Linked DNA regions of Ovis aries. The protein of the gene in region 3 interacts with the protein of the main gene of each other region in a pairwise test. Links are inferred from orthologs where the notes say so. Each region holds a gene or a part of one and is shown on either strand. Other genes may lie near its edges.

The links.
Region 1: the proteins of TRIM54 (region 3) and FAM161A interact in binary tests that used the Homo sapiens proteins (3 or more experiments, as listed by UniProt). The two-hybrid records come from large-scale screens. The link is inferred for Ovis aries from reciprocal best matches to the Homo sapiens genes TRIM54 and FAM161A.
Region 2: the proteins of TRIM54 (region 3) and INPP5J interact in binary tests that used the Homo sapiens proteins (3 or more experiments, as listed by UniProt). The two-hybrid records come from large-scale screens. The link is inferred for Ovis aries from reciprocal best matches to the Homo sapiens genes TRIM54 and INPP5J.
Region 4: the proteins of TRIM54 (region 3) and UBE2I interact in a two-hybrid assay, tested with the Homo sapiens proteins (3 studies listed by BioGRID and IntAct). The link is inferred for Ovis aries from reciprocal best matches to the Homo sapiens genes TRIM54 and UBE2I.

What each region holds. Positions count from the first base shown.
Region 1 is NC_056056.1:46,300,794-46,305,037, forward strand, and holds the start of FAM161A (protein FAM161A), read left to right. Parts: upstream 1-1,444; 5' UTR 1,445-1,529; coding exon 1,530-1,727; exon of another isoform or gene 1,728-1,734; intron 1,735-4,244. UniProt on the Homo sapiens protein: Involved in ciliogenesis.
Region 2 is NC_056070.1:69,884,641-69,888,659, forward strand, and holds the start of INPP5J (phosphatidylinositol 4,5-bisphosphate 5-phosphatase A), read left to right. Parts: upstream 1-1,219; 5' UTR 1,220-4,019. UniProt on the Homo sapiens protein: Inositol 5-phosphatase, which converts inositol 1,4,5-trisphosphate to inositol 1,4-bisphosphate.
Region 3 is NC_056056.1:34,378,224-34,380,722, reverse strand, and holds part of TRIM54 (tripartite motif-containing protein 54), read right to left. Parts: intron 2,223-2,499; coding exon 2,051-2,222; intron 253-2,050; coding exon 157-252; intron 1-156. UniProt on the Homo sapiens protein: May bind and stabilize microtubules during myotubes formation.
Region 4 is NC_056077.1:1,565,899-1,569,995, forward strand, and holds the start of UBE2I (SUMO-conjugating enzyme UBC9), read left to right. Parts: upstream 1-1,297; 5' UTR 1,298-1,411; intron 1,412-1,775; exon of another isoform or gene 1,776-2,015; intron 2,016-2,238; exon of another isoform or gene 2,239-2,319; intron 2,320-4,097. UniProt on the Homo sapiens protein: Accepts the ubiquitin-like proteins SUMO1, SUMO2, SUMO3, SUMO4 and SUMO1P1/SUMO5 from the UBLE1A-UBLE1B E1 complex and catalyzes their covalent attachment to other proteins with the help of an E3 ligase such as RANBP2, CBX4 and ZNF451.

The sequences.
Region 1 (4,244 bases), about 12 Mb from region 3:
TAAGATTTGTCATTTTCTTCTTGTAGATCTGTCCATTTCTGCTCTATATATTTTGAGGCTATATTATTAGATATCTGCAAATTTATGTATATATAACTGAATCACTTTGCTGTACATAAACTAACACAACATTGTAAATCAACTATTTTTCAGTAAAAACAGTTTAAAAGATAACTGCAAATTTAGAATATTGCTCACGAGTGGAAGCTTTTTTGCTCTTCTACATACACATACAATATGTCCTCCACACTTACTGCTTCTTTTCCACTCTCTTCTAATGTTCTATTTTCAGTGTTTCAGCATGCTGATTTGGGGTCGGGGTCAAATCACAAGAGGGTTACGTGCAGCCACAGAACTCGCTGCATGCAAACGCCTGGACGTCCCTTCTGTGGTCATTTGCAGCGTCCATACCTCATGGGCTTCCAACTCTAGCTTTGGCTAAGAATCCAGCCGGTGTCTGTTCCAGTGGTCAAAGCAAATCCTCAGCCAAAACAAAGAGCAGCCTGCAGAAAGGTGAGGGAGTAGGGTGTTTCGCAAGTGTTTACATTCCTGATGGAAGAAATACTTGGTTCAGACTTCAGAGAAGGGGTCTGGATATTGCGCGTTGCGTACCCTAACTTTGTGGTGGTGACAGCAGGTTGTAGGGCCAGGAGTGGGGGGTGGCTGGGGCCTCAGCCTCAGGAAGTAGGGGTTTGGCTGACACTGCACCACGAAGCGACTTAGCATCATCAGCAGCAGCACCACCACCACGCCTGATATTTTAAGGCTAGGCTTCTTTTACAGGCGCTTGGTGTAGCGGCAAGGCGTCATCTGAAGCGCCCAAATCCCAAGTGGGAGACGTTGTTGGGGGTGAGGTGGAGATGAGGCTTGTTTGTGGCTACTGGTGGGCGTTTACACCTTCCGATCCCCACCACTATAAAGCGGAGGAACCCAAGCAGCAAACGTTCGGGTCACACACACCTGCACTCTCAGTCACTGGTGGGTGGACCAGGCTCCACCTTCCTCCAGATTGGTCGACTTCCGTTAGCTTTCAAGTCAGGGTAGAAAGTAACTCACGGCTTCCCATTCTCCGGCTCGCTGGAGAGCCATGTTAGGTCGCGGGATGCAAACGTTACCATTGTCCCGAGACCGCGACACGATAACACGCCCTGCTTTCTTCTGCCGCCGCCACCTCCTCCAAACATATTATTTCAATGAATAAAAAGCCCCACAGCACAAATCGTTTCATTAGTGTAATGTGAGAAGTCTGCATTTAGGGGGTGAAATGCGAAGAAGAGGGACCAGGTGCCCTATTCCCCCGACCAATCCTCTAAACCAGCAAAGACTCAATACTGACTCCCACTATCCAAGGGGCCCCGCGGCGGGCGCCGGTTTTAAGTGATTTTTGGCCCCTCGCGGCCCCTGTAGCGTCCCTAGTTACCGGGCCCCTAGTAACCACCACCCTAAGCAAAGAGCAATCGGGCGCCTGCGGCCACGCCGGCTTCCCCGCCCCGGGCCAGCGCGGGCGCTCAGGCCTCGGCGGCGCGGTGATGGCTGCTTCGCACCGAGCGGCGAAGTTGGCGGCCAGAAGTCTCCAAACCCCGGTCAATCCCAACACCGGAGCGCGGGTCGCCCAGTACGAACGCAAAGACCCTTTGAATTCCCTGTCGGCGGCGGCGGCGGCCATGGAGGAAGAGGAGGAAGAAGAAGAAGAGAAAGAGGCGGCGGCACGGCTGGCGCGGGCGCCGGTAATGCAGGGGAGGGCAGTGGGGTGGGGCTGGGCGCCGGGTGCAATTGGAGGCTGATCGGCGACCCCCGGTGGTGAGGCGCGGGCTGGGAAATGCGAACCCTGTCCTGACCCGTACAGGTGAGCCTGGCCCACCAAGTCCTCTGGGTCCTCACGGAAAATGCTCGAAACCGAGGCGTTGAAAAGTCTTTTAACCAAAGAGGTTGTTGTAAAAATTTCTTGGAGGGCATTTACGTTACGCTATTTCTAATGAAAAGTACAGAAATTTATTCTTATGCTCCAGCAACTGTTGGGAGTAGGTATTTTCTTTTCTTTTCTTTTTTTTTCTTTTTCCTTTCAACTCGAGGAAAACTGTGCTGTCCTACAGAGAATAATCCAAAAAACGCAAGTGAATCAGCTGTGTTGTCAGGTGTGTTTTGTTGTCACTTCAATGTCTTGGTTATTAGTGCGTCTTAATACAATACATGAGAGATGATGGTTAAAACCAGCAGGAGTTTAGTGGGGAGATCAGAAACAGAGTTAAGCCTCCAGAGAAGCAAATTACTGAGGCTCCAGTGTTGCCACACGGCTCTTCAGAGTGAGGAGAAACAGCTTTTTCACAGATCGATTTTCAGTGTCGAGTGTTTTGTGAACACCTGTCTGCCAGGTAGGGGGCCAAGTCTGCCATCTGCTCTATTCCCTTAAAAGATGAGAACTTTGAATTTTAACCAGCAATCTGCAGGTATAAACCTTCTTAACCCCAGGTAAAGATTCTTTTGTTATTTTTAATATTTATTTATTTGGCTGTGCTGAGACTCAGTTGCCTCCATGCAACCTTTGTGTGGATTCTTTAGTTGTGGCATGCAGAATCTACTTCCCTGACCAGGGATGGAACCCAAGGCCCTTGCATTGGGAGTGCAGAGTCTTAACCAGCAGAGAAGTCCCCCCAAATTCTTAATACTGTTTGCTCAAAGCATCTTAGGTTAAAAACATGTAGTCTAGTGAAAGTCACTCAGTCATGTCCAACTCTTTGCAACCCCCATGGACTATACAGTCCATGGAATTCTCCAGGCCAGAATACTGGAGTGGACAGCCTTTCCCTTCTCCAGGGGATCTTGTGGTCTAAGGCTATTAGAAATCACTGGATATTTTGGAATTCTAATTTCTTTAATCTGCACTAGAAATGGTAATGAGAAAATCTGTAGTAACACCTTTTATGGGCAGTATTTTACCAACAGATAAACTGCTTGAGGTTATCCAGAGTAAAGCAGATTCAAAGACCCTGAACTTCAACCAGAATGAGTGACCTACAACCAAATTCATTCATGATAAAGCTTCAAATTTCAATACCCAATGAAGGAGGTGGACTGATGTTGAAAAATGATTTGAATGAAGAGAAGAATTTGGAGTCCTGGGTTAGGATCTGTTCATTTGCTAGTTAATATTAAGATGTAACTTCTTTCAGTTTGTTTCCTTATCTATAAAAGAGCTCTAAAATAACTGTCTTTCTTTTCTCACTGGGGTATTATGAGAACGAAATAAGAGCATATGTCATAGCTAAAAGACAGTTTGTATAAATTAGTAATAATAATAACAGCTGCCAGTGGGGCTGTTATTTGAACACCTATCCAAAAGAGAACAGGAGATTAAGTTCTCTTCTGGCTTGCTGTAGTGGAAAAGTCAGTCATTTCTGTGGTTGCAAGTATACTTCCAGAGTACCCTGTAAAATTGCAAATTTGTATTAGAAATATTACCTTAGGAGAGATCAGTTTATCTAATAAGCTAGTTTCTAAGGGACAGTGTCTCACTAAAAAAGAAAAAAGGAAGCTAAGTTTAACGCTATTCTGAGACCACAGTACTTAAAGGAACCAAAAGGAAATCTGGATCAGCTGCCACTGTAGTAGTGGTAAAGAACCCCCTGCCTGCCAGTGCAAGAGATGTAAGAGACGTGGATTTGATCCCTGAGTCAGGAAGATCCCTTGAAGAAGGGAATGGAACCCATTCCAGTATCCTCGCCAGGAAAATCCCATGGACAGAGGAGCCTGGCAGGCTACAGTCCATAGGGTCGAAGAGTCTGACACGACTGAAGTGACTTAGCGTGCAGCACATAGCAGTAGACCTGATGGAGACACTGGGGTGGGCAGACAAAGCACTGGAAAGGCAAGAAAGAAAGTGCAGCAGACAAGCTTTACCTTCCTCACAGTTTGGCTTGATATCTCACCTTGATTTTTAAACGCTAGTTTCTCTCAACTTTGTCGTCTATAAAATGGAGTTAACTCAGCTTACCATAGCCATCACACAAAATTGATTATGTAGAACTAACTGTCATAGTTCGGTTCAGTTGCTCAGTCATGTCTGACTCTTTCCAACCCATGGACTGCAGCGCACCAGGCCTCCCTGACCATCACCAACTCCCGTAGTCTACCCAAACTCATGTCCATTGAGTTGGTGATGCCATCCAACCATCCCATCCTCTGTCATCCCCTTCTCCCCCCACCTTCAATCTTTCCCAGCATCAGGGTCTTTTCAAGTAAGTCAG
Region 2 (4,019 bases), on a different chromosome or scaffold from region 3:
AGAGGGTTACCATTCCCTTCTCCAGGGGATCCTCCCAACCCAGGGATCGAACCCGCATCTCTTGGTATCTCCTGCATTGGCAGGTGGATTCTTTACCACTGGCACCAGGTTGACCCAAGAGAAATGATCACCCTACTCCCCTCAGGCAGTAGAGACCTGGGCCAGGCTTGTGGCCCCAAGAACCTCAGGGTGGAGGCCGACCAGAAGGAAACATCTCAGAACTTCCCTGGGAGGCCCCATTAGAGACGCCTACCATCTGGTCCCTGCCTCAGCCCACGCAGAGCCAAGCCGGCCCTCCCTGCCACCTGCGGCCTAGCCCTACAGACCATCTGGTTGCTTCCCCGAGAGGCCCCTCCCATACTCCCTGAAGGGGAGCTAGCTCCCAATGGGAGTCCAGACCCTAGGACTACCATTCTTGTCCTCTTCAGGCCTTCTTTCTCCTCCCCCTCCACCCCCTCCACTGCCCTCCCCCCACCCTTTTTTTTTTTTTTTTCAGGGAGAAACCTAAAGCCCAGAGAGGGTCTGTGACGATCCAAGTCACACAACCAGACAGGGACTTTGATGGGGCATTCCCTGGCAGGGGAGGGCGGAGGGATTCCTGAGGAACAAGTGTTGGTAAGGCAGTGAGGCAGTTCCCAGCTCCCTGCCCTGCGTGGCAGAGAGGCTCCCAGAAGGTCATCCCTCCCCTCCGGGGAAAGAGAGAGAGACCAACCGGAACTGGGGTGGGGAGGAATTCCAGGAAAAAAGAGGACTGGGGCGGGGGAGGGGTGGGGCGGGTGGGAAGTTGGGCTCCAGAAGGCAGATTTGGGAGTCACTAGCCAGAAGTTAAGGGACAGAGCCAAAGTGTAGGGGCCCGTTGTCCGGCCAGATGGGGCGCTAGGGAGGGGTTCAGATTTCCAGGCCGCAAGATCGGGTGTCTGGGGCTCCCACGGTGGGTGCTGGGGCGTTCTGGGTCTGGGAAGTGGGAGGGGCAGTCCCGGGTCCGAGGGGAACGAGGGAGTCTGGAAAGTCCTGTGCCAGAACGGGCAGTGATTGCGAAGTTAAGGAGTCACGGGGCTTAGGGGCGGTGGTCCTTAGGCTGGGGGGCCGCCGCACTCACCTCTACCCGGGCTCGGGCCAGGCCTTGTAGACGGTTCCAGTCGGGCCGGAAGGTGGTGGTGGCGGCCGCGACTGCCGCGAGGAGGAGCAGCAGGGGCGGCGGAGGCAGCGGGAGGTGCATTGAAACCCGGCCGAAGATGGTCCGCAAGCTGGAGGTGAACCGCCCGGCCACTGCGCCACGTCTGGCCCGGAGAGCTGGCCGGGTCCCCGCTGGAGGTCCCGCCCCGTTAGGGACCACGCCTCCTGCTCTCGGTCTCCGCCCAGGACCTGCGTGGGGGCCGCCCGCGCGGCCCGGCGGGGTTTGGGCTCCTCTCTGGCCCGCAGAGCTTTACTTTCCGGGTCCCAACAGCGTCCACCCTCCCTCTGCTGACCGACAGGATGGATGCTCCGACTGGATGCGTCCAGACAGTGCCCCGGTTCGCCGGCAGAGGGCGCAGGCGGGAGGCGCACAGGCACCGGAGTTTCTGGGTCAGACACCCGACTGGAAGATGGGGAAACTAAGGCCTGGGGAATCCTTGTTTGTGTGTTGTTTTCTGTTTGTTTTGTTTTTTTACTTCTCTAGATGAGATTCCGGTCTGGATTTTAATTTCCTGGGCAAACGTTATGGCGATGGGAATATTACGTCGGAGCTGGGAGGATAAAGGGGTTAATACACATGAGAGCAGAGAAGGCAATGGCACCCCACTCCAGTACTCTTGCCTGGAAAATCCTAGGGACAGAGGAGCCTGGTGGGCTGCAGTCCACGGGGTCGCGAAGAGTCGGACACGACTGAGCGACTTCACTTTCACTTTTCACTTTCATGCATTGGAGAAGGAAATGGCAACCCACTCCAGTGTTCTTGCCTGGAGAATCCCAGGGACGGGGGAGCCTGGTGGGCTGCCGTCTATGGGGTCGCACAGAGTCGGACATGACCAAAGCGACTTAGCAGCAGCAGCAGCACATGAGAGAGCTCTTTAGAACAGTACCGTCACAGCACCTCAAAAAGGCCCAATGATCTCCTTTCTACAAGCTAGGAAACAGGCTCAGAAAGGTAAGACGATTAAATTGTAGGTCTTGGATTTGAACCCAAAACATTCCCGTGTTCATGTCACCAAGACAAAGACGACTAGATCAGGATGTCACTTCCCCTCTTCAGTCCTCAGGCAGACATTGTGCACTGGTCGCAGTGCTTTTTTCCCACTGAATCTGGACTGGAACTCAGAATTCTCAGCATCCAGCCAAGGCTGCATTATGGCTTTCACGGAAGCTCAGTAGTTTTGCCTTCCTGGGCCCCTTCCTTTATTAAAATATCTTACATTAGACATTGGAGGGACTACCCTGGTGGTCCATTGGTTATGACTCTGCCTCGTAATTAAAGACAGCACAAGTTCAATCCTGACAACTAAACCCATGTGCCACTAGAGAGCCTGCTGCCCCAAGGAAAGTTCCCTAGTGATTGCGAGGAAGATGCCACGTGATGCAGCTAGATAAACATTTTTAAATTGAATTTTACAACTGCTTTGATCTTAAAAGAAATTAATATAATCCAGGCTAGGTTCATTATTATTCATTCATTTTTTTCTTCCGATTTAAAAAAAAAATTAAAATTAAAACATTTTTGTGGGCCCCTAAAAGTATGATGGGCCATAGACACTAAACCTCATGGATAAGTCAGGTCTGCCTAGAGCCCTTCATTCATATCATTACCTCCCATTCACTGACTTGATTGTGAAGATATAATAGGCTTAGGGCTGTTATTTAATATTCATTGTCCATAAATACATGAGGACACAGTAAATATAATTGGTTCTATCCAGATTATTGAAATGATAAGCTATGTCTAACACTGTTTACTGCTGTGAAAGTGGGAATCCATCCAAGCTTTCTGAAAGGCAACTTGACACATTAAATCAAAACCCTAAAAATATTTTTTCTACCCAGTATTACACTTCTCAGAATTTGACCCAAAGTAATCTTGAGAGAGGGAATCAATGGTTAGGTTAAGATGTTTATCAAGACACTGTTTACAATGGGGAAAAACGAGCTTGGACAGAAGCATGTCATCGCAGGGGATGAGATAAGTAAATGCTGGTGCTTGCTTAGGTTGGGCTTCCCTCATCGCTCAGTTGGTAACGAATCTGCCTGCAATGCAGGAGACCCTGGTTCAATCCAGAGAAGATCCCCTGGAGAAGGGAGATGCTACCCACTCCAGTATTCTTGGGCTTCCCTGGTGGCTCAGCTGGTGAAGAATCCTCCTGCAATGCAGAAGACCTGGGTTCGATGCCTGGGTTGGGAAGATCCCCTGGAGAAGGGTAAGGCTAGTGAAGTGAAGTTGCTCAGTCGTGTCTGACTCTTTGCGACCCCGTGGACTGTAGCCCACCAGGCTCCTCCGTCCATGGGATTCTCCAGGCAAAAATACTGGAGTGGGTTGCCATTTCCTTCTCCAGGGTACGGCTACCCACTCCACTATTCTGGCCTGGAGAATTCCATGGACTATATAGTCCATAGGGTCACAAAGCAGAATCAAGCGGTTGTTTAAAATGATGTGGCATAGTGTTGAATGACATGGAGAGTGTTCAGTTATGGTGTTAATTTTTTTTTAAGCTCTAAAACAGTAATATCAGTTGGGAATTGTGATGCTCCAGGTTGCAAGTCACAGAAACCGCAAGTTAAATGGGCTTAAATGATAAATGGAATCTCTTGGTTCAAATAACAAAATATTTCAGGGAGGGAGGGCTCAGATGAGGTTTGATCTGGTTGATAACGTCACCAAGGCCTGATCTCTTTCCATTCTGCTTTCCATAACATCAGTTTGTCCTTAGCACAGTTATCTGCCTGGTGTCAAGATGACTGCCAGCAGTAATCAGGACCACTACAGACTTCTTCACTCATCTAATCAAGGGGAAATCTTTTTTTTTTTTTTTTTTGTAAACTCCTCAGGA
Region 3 (2,499 bases):
CAAACCCAAACACTAAGAAGTTAAGTCACTGGACCAAAGTCACAGAGGAGGACAGAGCTGGGATTCAAACCTAGCAGCCTGGGTAAGCACATTCTACTACTTGTGATTCACCTCCAGTAGCCCAGCAACTTTCCCTCCCTCCCTTTCCAGGCTCACCTCGATGGTCTGGCACACCTCCTCCATCTGTGTGATCACTGCTTGCACACGGTCATTGCCGGCCACCAGCATCGCGATGCCATCGCTGAGCTCACTCTGCCACACACAGAGGCCAGCACTCAGGGCTGGAGGACCTGGTCTGGAGCTAAGCCCCTCCCTCCCTCACCAGGGCTACCCAGGAGAGGACTGTCCCCTCCACTCCACCATCAGGGCATCCTCAGGGAAACTCTGACAGAGATCTAGAGAGTTTGGAACCATTCAAGAAGTTTGGAAGCACAGTCTATAAATTCTGGAAGGAAGTGGAGAGAGGAAGTCCTCCACCACCAAGTGAGAAAGAGACATTCACCAAATATCCACCAAATACCACACACTGGGCTGCATGCTTTATCTTCCATCAATTTTGAAAAAGTCTTCAGGATTTTCCTTTAAGATAATATTGCCTCTTCTGCATTCTCTTTATTCTCTCATTCTGAGACTCTGATATCTAATCAGAGTACCTAATATATCTAGAGTATCAGATATATCTAATCATATATCTAATATGTTAGACCTTCTCATTCCCAACCTTCTCATCTCCCAGTGCTATATTCTAAGCTATTTTTTCAGTCCTCTCTTTCCCTTTTAAAATTCTTTTATGTGAAAAAAAAAATTTTTTTTTTCTGGCCATGCTGTGTGGCTTGTGGCATCTTAGTTCCCCAACTCAGGCCCTCGAGAGTGAAAGCACAGAGTGCTAACCACTGGACAGCCAGGGAATTCCCCAGTCCTCTCTTACTGAGAGAAAGTTGTCATTTAATTCATCCCTTGAATGTTTTGTTTTCTACAATTATATTTTCATTTCTAAAAGCTCTGTTTGGTTCTTCATCAAATCTGCACTTTTGATAGTCTATTATTGCTTATTTTCAAATTCCATTTTTTAAAGCATTTTATACAAAGCTGACTTTACATTCTTTAATAATTCCAGTATCTTAATTTCTTGAGGGCCTAAATCTGAAAGTTTTGTTTCTGCTGACTTCACTCATGAGTACATTTCTTTGTGTATCTTCAATCGGGAGCTCATCTTATGTTGATCTTAATCTAAGAAAAACCCAAGGCCTAAATTGAGGGTTTTTCCACCAGGCAGAATTTGCATTTGCTTTTGTCAAAAGCCAGGTGGCACAACTGCCCACTTTAGGGATTCCTGGGATTCCAGTGTATCCTGTGATCCTTGGGGGTCTTTGTTGTAGGTCCCCCAAGTTTCAGGAGTTTGTAGGCATAGTCTCATCTGTCTAGTTCAGTAATAATTTGCCCTGTGGGAAATCCTGCCTTTCCCATGCCTATCATATTCAGGGTTCTGTTCACATCTCTCTCCCCCTCCTTCTCTCCCTACCTCACCCACACTTGGAGCTTTCCTTTACTTTCTACCTGTCTATCAATTTAATTTTTATTTTATTTTTTCAATTATTTTTTTAAAATTAACTGATTAATTAATTTTTTTGGCCATACTGCATGGCATGTGGAATCTTGTTTCCCCAACCAGGGATTGAACCAGTGCCCCCTGCGTTGGAAGCTTAACCACCAGACCTCCAGAGGAGTCCCTTAATTTGTAAATAATGTTTTATGTAGAATCTACTTGTATGACAGTGTGATGGCCTTGAGAGTTCACCATACTGCATCCATTTCTCGTATGATCCTTACAACTCTCAAGTGTAAGCATTTTCATGCCCATTTTACAAGTGAGGAAGAATTTTAGGGCCAGAGAGGTCAAGTGACTTACCCAAGGTCACACAGTGAGCTGGGACTTCAGCCCTGATCTGCATGCCTTTGAAGTCAAGTGGAGTAAGAGGCTGCAGTTTGAGATCCCATCCTGTGTCCCCACCCCCACCCCCCCATGCTTGCTCCCTCTGCTGCTTGATACCTTCTGGCGTTTGTAAATGGTGGGCAGTGGGGCCACCTCACAGTCCTTGTGGGCACCAAAGACCTTGCAGAGAGAGCAGGTGGGCACTTCACAGCTCAGACAGTAAATGTTGATCTTCTCGTCTTCATGCTCCTCACACATGAGGTGCTGCTCAGCCTTGGAATGCAGTGGCCTGCGGGGAGGCAGGCAGTGTAGGAGCAGGGGTCAGGGGCCAGGCAGGTGGGGCAAGTGTGTGAGGCCCCCTGAGCGCTTTTTCTTCAGCCTCCACCAGCCACTGCCACCTTGTGCCCCGACAGCTGCTGCTGTGGCTGGGCAGGCAGATGACTTCCTCTTCACTTGAGGAACAGAGCTACATACAGGGTACAGGAGGCCCAGATCCAAGAGTAGTTTCTATTCCAGGGGGCAGGAAGTGCCACAGGGAGGGAGGTCATAGAGGGTTGGCAGGGACC
Region 4 (4,097 bases), on a different chromosome or scaffold from region 3:
TAACCAGGCCCTCTGGGCCACAGCTGACCCAGAGGCACCCTAGGCAGACTACCTCCCCAGCCCAGCGGAGCTACCAGCCTCAGGAGACGCCCCCACCTCAACCCCACGCCCAGCCCGGGGCCTTCTCAGGGCTAGTGACCATCCTCACTGTAACAGACGGGCTGGGAGCGCTGAACACCTGCTGAGAGCTCTGGCCCAGACGTGGGCCTTGGGACACTAGCCTTGCGGGGGCGGGGGGGGGGGGGGCGGTGCTGGGCGGTCTGCCCTGGAGGCCAATAGTCTCAGTACAGTGCCAAATAGGGGGCTGCCGGGGGTGAGGGTGGGGAGGATGGAAGGAAACGGAGGAAGGAGGAGACCCAGGGCGAAGGGGTGAATGAATGCAAGCTGGGGGCCGGGGTGGGGGGGCGGTCACCTCCCGCCACTTGACCCCAAAGAGCCCACGGGCGGAGGGGCTGACCTTGGAACGCTCCCTCTTTCCCACTCTGGGCCAGGGGACGGGGGTCGGGGGCCGCTAGACGGAGAGGCGCCCAGCGTGGCCGGGAAGGACAAGCGTTCGCGCGTGGGTTCGGGGCGGACCTGAGACCCCGGCCACAGGGGCCTAGCCCTGCCCCTGCTCCTCCCCCACCCGCCCGGACCACCCGGCGCCCCTCCCCCCAGGCCAGCCCCTGGGTTAGGGAGCGTCTGCACTTCTCCTCCCGTCGGTCGGGCCCGCACTTGGTCTTGTGTACGGGGCCTGCTCATTGGGCACATTAGACGGATGCCCCGCCCAGGGCCCCGAGTTGGCCAATCGCAAGGGGTTTCACAGCATGCCGTAGGCGAGAGATTGTCACCGTGCTGCGACGCTTGGGGGATCCCTAGGCCTCAGTGGTCGTTGCTCCTCCGCCCCGGGCCCTAGCCTCGAGGAGACCTCCGGGACCGCTGCCTGGGGAGGTGCCCGCGGGGCATCCGGAGAGCCCGGGGAGATCTCGGCCGCCCTGCTTCCCCGCCGCTACCCGGCCGGTCCTCGCGAGGAACAGTGCCCCGCGAAGGGGAGTTTGCAGACGCTCCCTCACACCCGGGACGCGGCCCCTTTAAGGACGCAGGTGTCCATGGCGCCGCCTGACTGGAAAGCCGCCTCCGGGCCGGGCTCCCGAGCGGGGCCCGGGGCGCGGGCGCGCGGCGGCGGGACACGGGCAGCGGGCGGCGCTCGGCGGCGCGGGCGGCGCGGGGCTGGCGGTGGCGGCGGCGGGGTGCGAGCCAGGCGCGCGGCGGGCAGGCCCCGCAGGCCCCGCCCCGCCCCGCCCGCGCCGGGGTCCTCGAGCGCTCGGGCTGCGCGCGGAGCGGGCTCGGGAGGGAAGTCCCGAGACAAAGGGAGCGCAGCCGCCGCCGCCGCCGCCTAGTACGCCTCGCTCGCCGGGCCGGGCCGCCCGAGGTGAGCGCCGCGGGGCGGGCGCCGGGCCGCGGGGGCCCAAAACTCCGCTGCCGGCGGGTCCGGCCGGGCAGGCGCCCTCCGCGCGCGGCCCGGCCCGTTCCCGGGGACCGGCCCGCCCCGGGCTGCTGACGCCGCGGCGGGGGCCAGCCCGCCGGGCTCCCTTCGGGTAGCCCGGCCCCCGGCCCGCCGCGGCCTCGGCCCGCGAGGTGGGGGCGTCTTCTCCGGGCGCGCGCTCGGGGCGAGTCGCGTCCGGGGCGGCCGACGGCGCGCTCGGCTCGGGCCGCGCTGACAGGAGCGCCAAGCCCTCCGCTCAGGCGGAGCGTTTCCGGGGTCACGGTCTGCGCGCGAACCTGTGGCGCGTTCCAGCCTGGTAGAGGACGCGCTGCACAAAGAGTGCAAAGCCGCGCGCTGCAGGAGCGCCGGCGCGTTTGGGGGTGGCGTGTGATGCCTGGAAACGAAAACAAGCCAGAGCTCTTGCGCCTCCGAGCTCCGCTCGCCGTTGCGGGGGACCCACCGAGTGTTCGCTCTTCCCTTGACGGGGAGATCTCGTCCCAAGACCGCTTTATACCAATTGCACGGCGGCTGGAGCTGATAGTTTTCGCGAGTAAGAGGAAGGCGAGGGAATGATTAGCTGGGCTGATGGTAACGGCCAGCAGCTGTCCTTGAATCACAGAAGTAACTGGTTTGGTTTGTACGATTTGAAAACAAGCTCCGTTGGCAGTTTCTCCCCGGTTTGCGGAGTTGGCTTTCGTTGGTCTGCTCTTAAGCCCGTGGTCCTCTGTGTTTCTTGCTCCCAAGGAAACTGCCTTTGGACGGAGAACCTGCCCAGCAGCAGGGGGAGAAGGAGCCCACGTTTGTGCTGACTTGATTTTGGGTGGGTTGGGGGTGAATTCTGCATCGTGCTGCACGTGAGTCTCGCTGGGGGTTTGGGCTTGCTTTGGAAACAGCTGGGCGTCCTGGGAGGCGTGTCAGGAAAGACCAGGGAAGTGCCCCTGGGCTGGAGGATCTCCTGAGCGCAGGTGAAGCCAGTGCCTTCCTTCTCCTGGCGAGCTTACGTTTGGGTGGGAAAGCCCACCAAGGGCCGCGAGCCTCTATCGGTTTCATCCTGGGCCGACCTCTGGGCTCACAGTGCTATCGCCCGTTTTACCGGTGAGAAGGTTGAAGGGGAAGAGGGAAGCCGTTGGCCCTCACCTGCAGCCGGTAAGTGGCTTCAGAGATTGATCTGAGAAGCGTGGGTTCAAGCACAGCCCACGCTGGAGAAGGGTGGCTGCAGACTTCAAGGGTCTGCCCCAGACCCGGATCCTGTGCTTCAGGCTGTCTCTAGCAGGTCATAGATACCCGATCTTTGCCTCTTAGTGATTTTGCTGCCCTGAAGACTGCGCACACTTAACAGCTCCTTAAGTGCCTCCCTGTCAGTTGGGAAAAGCTGATTGGATTCTAAGTGGGATGCTGAAGGAGTGGTTCCGTGTTGTAATTAAAATGTAGCAAATTGGCTGCTTTCTCCTGGGCAGCGAGGCCAGCCTCTCTCTGGGCGGGGGCAGGTGTGCGCCTGTGACTCCGCCATGGCTGCAGCATCTGTCTTTCAGGTGCCCAGTTTGGTTCTCACCCCCAAGGACGGGGTTGCAGCAGCTCTTGTGGGACACCCCTCCCATTACTTTCTGCACCTGAGACAGTCACAGCTGGCGCCCCAACAGGGTCTGCTGAGGCGGCTTTGTTCCTTGTCAGTAGAAGAGGTGGCCTGTGGCGGGGTCCTGGCATGCGGTCAGCAGGCATGCGGCACTGAGGATCACCCCACCGGCCTTTTCTACATCCTGGCCTAGCCATGCCGCTCCAGAGCCCTCGAGTGCCAGCTTGCCCATTCCAGAACCCATGTGCTGCCCAGGCTCCAGGAACCAGTCTTGAAGCCTTGCTGAGCGCAGACTCAGCAGGAACTTCACAGTGCACGGAGAGCCAGGCTGCTTGTCTCTGCCACTGAGCTCCCGTGTGGGACAGTTTAGAGGTGGTCCTGGCCCGTGAGGGGCTCCTGTAGGATTTCCGCACATCCCTAAGCCCCCACCAGGGGAGGGAGAGGCGTTCCCATCTGCCCTGGTGATGAGGCGGGGGCAAGTTCTGTTTAGAAGGGTGATGTGAAGTGAAGGGTTTTCAGGCTTCAGGATTACTGCCCTCATGTTCCCATGGACTTGAAAGCTGCTTGGCACTCCCCTCTGCTCTGCCAGCTCCCCACCTGAGGGAAGTGACCCCAGCATCTCCCACTCTGTCCTGTTTGTGGACAGTCTGGTGCTGCAGGCAGTGCCCAGGTGGCCAGCAACCACCACTAGGACCCAGGGGCACCAGCACGCCCACGTCAGCCTTCGGGCAGCCGCACTTGTGGTCTTCAACTTATATCACATGAATGAATGAAAATACCAGATGGGTGTGCACGTGTAGGGAAGGAGACCCCAGACAGGGTCCTGTCCATCAGGTCCACAGATGAGGAGGAGGTGAGCGGGCCAGGACTGGAGGTTCGGGGGTGGCAAAGAGAAATTCTCTTTGGGGTGTGGGCCTTCTTGCTTGGGACTTGATCTTGAGGTTGGGCAGGGTTAGAGCCTTTGAAGAGTGTCCTCAGTGGTCAGAGCCGGGCAGCAGCTCCTGTCACCAGGCCTCCTGCGTGGGAGCTAGAGTTTCACGCTCGCTTTCCCTTGTGTTG